Linked DNA regions of Danio rerio. The protein of the gene in region 1 interacts with the protein of each later gene in a biochemical or structural test. Links are inferred from orthologs where the notes say so. Each region holds a gene or a part of one and is shown in the gene's direction. Other genes may lie near its edges. The genes, in order: mapkapk5 and hspb1.

Evidence for each region.
Region 2: of the proteins of mapkapk5 (region 1) and hspb1, one has a biochemical effect on the other in vitro, tested with the Homo sapiens proteins (4 studies listed by BioGRID and IntAct). The link is inferred for Danio rerio from reciprocal best matches to the Homo sapiens genes MAPKAPK5 and HSPB1.

Annotation. Positions count from the first base shown.
Region 1 is NC_133180.1:75,578,533-75,582,359, reverse strand, and holds part of mapkapk5 (MAP kinase-activated protein kinase 5), read left to right. Parts: intron 1-694; coding exon 695-825; intron 826-904; coding exon 905-1,020; intron 1,021-2,389; coding exon 2,390-2,494; intron 2,495-3,827. UniProt on the Homo sapiens protein: Tumor suppressor serine/threonine-protein kinase involved in mTORC1 signaling and post-transcriptional regulation. Phosphorylates FOXO3, ERK3/MAPK6, ERK4/MAPK4, HSP27/HSPB1, p53/TP53 and RHEB.
Region 2 is NC_133180.1:4,128,448-4,132,419, reverse strand, and holds the end of hspb1 (heat shock protein beta-1), read left to right. Parts: intron 1-2,191; coding exon 2,192-2,255; intron 2,256-2,820; coding exon 2,821-2,971; 3' UTR 2,972-3,250; downstream 3,251-3,972. UniProt on the Homo sapiens protein: Small heat shock protein which functions as a molecular chaperone probably maintaining denatured proteins in a folding-competent state. Plays a role in stress resistance and actin organization.

The DNA of each region.
Region 1 (3,827 bases):
ATTTTTTATTTTATTTTATTTTTTTAAATATTTCCCAAATAATGTTTAATAAAGCAAGGACATTTTCACAGTACGTCTGATAATATTTTTTCTTCTGGAGAAAGTCTTATTTGTTTTATTTTGGCTAGAATAAAAGCAGTTATTAATTTTTTAACACTATTTTGAGGACATTATTTGCCCCTTTTAAGCTATATTTTTCTCGATAGTCTACAGAACAAACCATCATTATACAAAACATTTCCTAATTACCCTAACCTGCCTAGTTAACCTAATTAACCTAGTTGAGCCTTTAAATGTCACTTTAAGCTGTTTAGAAGTGTCTTGAAAAATATCTAGTCTAATATTATTTAATGTCATCATGACAGATAAAATAAATCAGTTATTAGAAATGAGTTATTAAAACTATAATGATTATATTAGAAATGTGTTGAAAAAATCTGCTCTCCGTTAAACAGAAATTGGGGGAAGAAACCGGGGGGCTAATAATTCTGACTTCATTTGCATATAATAAATATACACACATATATAATGTCAAAACAAGCTTTTATTTTGGATGTGGTTAATCGCAATCATTCTTGTACAGCACTAAACCATATATGGATATTGGCAATTCTAGAATTGAGGATAGGTTTGTGCATATCCAAAATAAACCTACTTCTAAAACACTACTTGTATGTGTATTTCCTTCATTCAGGCAGTTGTAGCAGGAATTCAACAGGCTCATGCAGAGCAGCTGGCCAACATGAGGATACAAGACCTCAATCTGAGTCTGAAACCCCTCAACTCCGTCAACAACCCCATTCTGAGAAAGAGAAAGCTGCTGGGGTAAACGTTCAGTTCATTCACATTATCTCCTGCCTTACTAACAGTGCTGTTTTTAACAGACTGTGCTTAAACCCTGCAGCACCAAACCCAATGACGAGCTGTTCATCAATGATCCAGAGAATGAGGTGGAGGACACCAATGTGGCTCTGGAAAAACTAAGGGATGTGATCGCACAGTGCATATTACCACAGGCTGGTATGTATAAACCCACTCATTGTGTAAACCAGGGGTGCCCAAACTTTTCCGTATGAAGGCCTAAATCCAAATATCATTGAGAGCTGTGGGCTGAAGGTGAATATATTAAACTACATTACACTAAAGTTGCCATGGGTAATTTCCTAATTTATTTCATAATATTTCAATATAAATGTAAAACATCACTTTAAATCATGTTAACTTATGCAGTATAACATTTAAAATGATAACTTATTGCAATAAGAAAAACTGCAACAGTTATAACACAGTGCAGTCCAACACTGAATACACTGGTCAAGCAGAATCTGCCTTTGACTTAATTTGCTGACTAAAGATAATCTGATTGATTTACACCATATAATCAAAGAAAACAAACAAACAAAGGCTACATTAGATTTGAATTGACAGTCTCGAAACCATCCCCATCATCTCTGTTTCTTCTCAGATGGGATGGTGGGCTAAATCAAAGGTTACCGTGGGCCAACTTTGGCCCGCAGGTCTTAGTTTGGGCATTACTGGTGTAAAAACACTCTTTTAGTGTTAATTTTGTTGTATATAGGCTAGTTTTTAACAGCAGATGGTGCTCTAGGCTAGTGTTTAACAGCAGATGGTGCTCTAGGCTAGTTTTTACCAGCAGATGGTGCTCTAGGCTAGTTTTTACCAGCAGATGGCGCTCTAGGATAGTTTTTAACAGCGCATGGCGCTTTAGGCAAGTTTTTAGCAGCAGGCAGCACTCTAGGCTAGTTTTTAACAGCAGATGGCGCTATAGGCTAGTTTTTAACAGCAGATTATGCTCTAGGCTAGTTTCCGACAGCAGACGGCGCTCTAGGCTAGTTTTTAATAGCAAATGGTGCTCCAGGCTAGTTTTTAGCAGCAGATGGCGCTATTGGCTAGTTTTTAGCAGCAGATAACGCTATTGGCTAGTTTTTAGCAGCAGATGGCGCTATTGGCTAGTTTTTACCAGCATATGGCGCTCTAGGCTAGTTTTTAGCAGCAGTTGGCGCTATTGGCTAGTTTGAAGCAGCAGATGGTGCTCTAGGCTAGTTTTTAACAGTAGATGGTGCTCTAGGCCAGTTCTTAACAGCAGACGGCGCTCTAGGCCAGTTCTTAACAGCAGATGTCGCTCTAGGCCAGTTCTTAACAGCAGATGTCGCTCTAGGCCAGTTCTTAACAGCAGATGTCGCTCTAGGCCAGTTCTTAACAGCAGATGGCGCTCCACGCTATTTTTAACTAAACAACAACTCATCCAGAAAAAGTTCTCAGTGTTGATTTGTAGCTTTCATTGAAAATGTCTGCAGGGATAAACTATAATGCTGTCCAAAAACCATGAAGCACATCATAGTTTGTCTCTTTTTTTATATGACCACAGGTGACAGTGATGACGAAAAGCTAAATGAAGTAATGCATGAAGCTTGGCGCTTGAATCGTGATTGCAAACTTCTCAGAGATGGATTGCATGGGTTATGTTGGGATGGTAAGTGTTTTGTGTCTGAGGTTTATTTTCTAGAAGCTATACTGTGCACTAGAATAGCATCCAGTACTTGCAAATTCATCTGTGTGACTGAACTGATTATTAAAATTTGGCAGTTTTAAACGAACACTCAATTGTTTTTGGAAGTAGGCTCAATTTACAGCTCTCCTATAGTTAAAAAAAAATTTTTTTTACCATTTTTTGAACCCACTAAGCCAATCTCCATGTCAGGTGGGAGCCCTTTTAGCTTAGCTTAGCATAGATTATTGAATCAGATTAGACCATTAGCTATGTGTTTATTTACAGCAAACAGAACTCTAGGCTAGGTTTTTACAGCAGGTGGTGCTCTAGGCTAGTTTTTAACAGCAGATGATGCTTTAGGCTACTTTAGGCTATTTTTTTTGGCAGGTGGAACTCTAAGCTAGTTTTGGTTGGTGTTTTACAGCAAATGGCATACTAGGCTAGTTTTTTATTACAGCAGATGGTACTCTAAGTTAGTTTAGGCTAGTTTTTTTACAGCAGACAGCACTACAGTCAAGTTTTTAACAGCTGATGGCACAATAGGTTAGTTTAGGCTAGTTTTTTAAAAGCAGACGAAGCTCTGGGCTAGTTTGGGCTAGCTTTTTGGCAGATCGAGTTCTAGGCTAGTTTAGGCTAGTATTTTACAGCAAATGGCACTCTAGGCTAGTTTTTTTTACAGCAGATGGCGCTCTAGGCTAGTTTTTAACTGCAGACGAAGCTCTAGGCTAGTTTTGGCTAGTTTTTTTTGGCAGATGGAGCCCTAGGCTAGTTTAGGCTAGTATTTTACAGCAAATGGCACTCAAGGCTAGTTTTTTAACAGCAGATGGTGCTCTAGGCTAGTTTAGGCTAGTGTTTTTACAGCAAACAGTGTTATAGGCTAGTTTTTATCAGCAGATATTGCTGTAGGCTAGTTTTTAACTGCAGACAAAGCTTTGGGCTAGTTTTGGCTAGTTTGTTTCGGCAGATGGAGCGCTAAGCTAGTTTAGGCTAGTTTTTTTTTACAGCAGACGGCACTACAGGCTAGTTTTTTAACAGCAGATGGCAGTCTAGACTAGTTTTTAACTGCAGACAAAGCTTTAGGCTAGTTTTGGTTAGTTTGTTTCGGCAGATGGAGCGCTAAGCTAGTTTAGGCTAGTTTTTTTTACAGCAGACGGCACTACAGGCTAGTTTTTTAACAGCAGATGGCAGTCTAGACTAGTTTTTAACTGCAGACAAAGCTTTAGGCTAGTTTTGGTTAGTTTGTTTCGGCAGATGGAGCGCTAAGCTAGTTTAGGCTAGTTTTTTACACAGCAGACGGCACTACAGGCTAGTTTTT
Region 2 (3,972 bases), about 71 Mb from region 1:
CTTAGCCTGCAGTGGACAACCTTTCTGGCTATATTTTCAATTATTAAATATGTTAATATGGCAACATATTGCGCTCTTCAGACTTTACATGAATAAATCTGACAGAGACTCCTCCCCCTCCCCATCAGTCACTAATAAACTGTATTAAATACCTTAGTTATTACTACAGTAAACTGTGGTGTATTGTAGTATAAAGGGACTTTGACTATAGAGTTTGATTCAAAACACAGTATTTACTATGAATTACCATATTTAAACTTTAAATATATAATATTCTGTTCGTTTTGATTTAGTTTGATTTAATTCAGCTTGATCGCATTTTATTTATTTTATTTTGGTTTGGTTCGATTCAGATCAGTTTGATTCTGTTCAGTTCGGTTTGGTTTGGTTCGGTTTGATTGCATTTTATTTAAATTTATTTTATTCTATTTGATTTGATTTACTTTGATTTGATTCGATTTTATTTTGTTTTATTTGATTTGAATCAATTTGATTAGATTTAAATTAATTTGATTGAAAGGAATTCTGTTTGATATTGATTTGATTTGATTCTGTTTGGTTTGATTCATTTTGATTGCATTTTTAAAATTTTATTTTATTTTTATTTGGTTTGGTTCGATTCAGATCAGTTCCATTCAGTTTGGTTTGATAGCATTTTATTTAAATTTATTAGATTTGATTTAATTTGATTTAATTCGATTTTGTTTGATTTGATTCAGTTTGATTTTAATTAATTTGATTAAAATAATTCTGATTTCTGTTTTGATTTGATTGTATTTGATTTGATTTTGTTTGGTTTGGTTCGGTTTGATTTGATTTAGTTTGATTGCATTTAATTTATTGTACTTTATTTTATTTTTAGTTTTTTTGGTTTAATTTGGTTTGGTTCTATTCATTACAGTTTGGATTTGTTTGGTTCGGTCTGATTGCATTTTATTTAAATTTATTTGATTCTATTCTATTTGATTTGATTCAATTTTGTTTGATTTGATTCAGTTTGATTTGAATTAATTTGATTGAAATGAATTCTGTTTGTTTTGATTTGATTCTGTTTAATTTAATTTTGTTTGGTCTATTTGATTTGATTTAGATTGATTGCATTTTATTTATTTGTTTTGATTCAATTCGATTTTATTTTATTTGATTGATTTCGTTTGATTTATTTATTTTCTATTTGATTTACTTTCTGAAGTATTTCTAAAATCATTTGAATTATATTAAGTCTTATAGAGTATTTTACTACAATATGTTTATAAATCACCGCAGTATTTGCTGTAAAACACTATTCCAAGCTGTCCACATGAAAAAGTCATATATAAAGTAAAGAAATTAACACGTTAATTACGAGTCCCACCCTTCATTTCCTCTCATTGTAAAAGCATCAAATAGTGAGGTTAACTTTATCTTATGAATCAGATGTGCTGGACTTTTAATGATCCTCATATCAAGTCCATCACTGTGGCCGTCTGTCAGAAGGGTTGTCTAAACAAACAGAGCTAGTGTTGGTTACCTGCTGGGTCAGCCAGAGTTTACAGGATATCAAGAGCAAGAGTTCTTAAAGGGACAGCTCACCCACAAGTGAGGATCCCCTTATCATTTACTCACACTCAAATGGTTTTAAACTTTAATGAAATTCCTTATTCTGCTTTTACTAGATATTTTTTAAGATGGTATTCAGCTTAAAGTGACATTTAGAAGCTTAACTAGGTCAATTAGACATGTTGGGGTAATTAGGCAAGTTATTGTATACCAGAGGCTTCTTCAGTAGACAATTGAATGTGATGTGAATGCCAGTGTATGAGAATGAGTCAGTCTATGGAGACTCCACATCTATAAACTCCACATCTATAATCCTCTTAGTCTCTGCTGACATCATCTTCAGCAGCTCAAACACTCTAATGGCTAATGGACAGACGGCTGCTTCTCACTCAGGGCTGCTGTTTATGCTAATGAGGGAGAGAGGGTCACTAGTGGGCGGGGCTTTCCCACTCTGATGACAAGTACAAAGGCAGAATGTCGATCGAAGTGTTCCTGCAGACTGTTTTGATCAAGCCTGATTATAAAAATATAGAATTAATTCATTTGTACCATTATATTCACACACCTCTGCCACACAACTGAGTTTAAACTCCTTATTAAAGTGATGTTTGCATAATATCTCACTTTTAACTTGTCTCCTCTTCGTCTGCAGGCAAACATGAGGAGAGAAAGGATGAACACGGCTTCATTTCCAGATGCTTCACCAGGAAATACACGTAAGTACAGACATTCTCCAGACATGCACACTTCAAGCACACTAGATAGGGAGGATCAAGAGTCTGGGAGATTCCTGAGAAAATAGGAGATGAGGGCTCTTGACATTGATTTATGCATCACATTGCATAACATTTTATATCTTTAAATCTTTGTGATGCATAGCTTTTCTCTGCTATTTTTTTCTCTGCTATTTTTTCTTTTGAGCTATTTTTATCATTTATATATGTTATAATTATTTTATTTATAATTATATATATATATATATATATATATATATATATATATATATATATATATATATATATATATATATATATATATATATATATATATATATATATATATATATATATATATAAATATTTATTATATTGCAGCACATTTTATTATATCACATTATATTTCTCCAATCTATATTTTTATTATTCCAAGTATGACAAAAGTGAGCTGAAAGGGTTGTAATGTGCATACATGAATGTTTTAATATGTGAACATGATCTTTTCTTTAATACTGGAAACTCTGTCGTCTTTATATAATTGTGTTGTTTTTGTGTTTTGCTCCAGTCTGCCCCCTGGTGTGGACTCTGAGAAGATCAGCTCCTGTCTTTCTCCTGAAGGAGTCCTGACTGTTGAAGCTCCGCTTCCCAAACCTGCCATCCAGGCCCCAGAAGTTAACATCCCTGTCAACAAAACCACCGTCAGCACCACAAAATAAACCCTGAGCGCACGCGCGCACTGACACACACATACACACACATTACTCTTGATTTCTTCAAGATGTTAACTCTTGATGTTAATGTCTTCTGGGTGTTTGTTAACTGTATGAGAGGCTGGATTGCCATGTTGTATTCTCATCTCACTTTTATGTCACTCTTTTATCATTATCTTGTTTCTTATCCTCCTCTCTTTTATTTCTAAATAAAAAAAAATCACATTTAGGTACTCAACAGTGTCTTAAAATCATTCTTGATCATTAAAGAATAGGCAAACATGACACCTACTTTTCCATTTCTTTCCTTAAAAATATTTTTTAAAAAGTAACTTGTAATGATAAAAAGCAATGATTTTACTTTTTATGGTATTTTTAATAAAAAAATGATTTCAAAAGTTATGATTTACGGAAATTACGTTTTTCTATAACTTTTGCCCGTTTCTTCAATTTACTAACAAAAAAACACAATGAGACACCTTAAAGCACAGGTGTCAAACTCCGTTCCAAAAGGGCCGCATCTCTGCACAGTTTAGTTGCAACCCTAATTAAACACACCTGATCAAACTAATTGAGTCCTTCAGGCTTGTTTGAAACCTACAGGTAAGCGTGTTGGAGCAGGGTTGGAACTAAACTGTGCAAGGCTTCGGCCCTCCAGGAATTGAGTTTGACACAACTGCCTTAAAGACAAATTTTTTTTCCCACATATGCAGTTGAAGTCAGAATTATTCGTTCCCCTCTTTATTTTTTCCCCAATTTCTGTTTAACGGAGAGCAGATTTTTTTTCCAACACATTTCTAATTATAATAGTTTTAATAATTCTTTTCTAATAGCTGATTTATTTTCTTTGTCATGATGACAGTAAATAATATTTGACTAGATATTCTTCAAGACACTTCTATACAACTTAAAGTGGTATTTAAAGGCTTAACTAGGTTAACTAGGTAGATTAGGGTAATTAGGAAAGTCATTGTATAATGATAGATTGTTCTGTAGACTATTGTAAA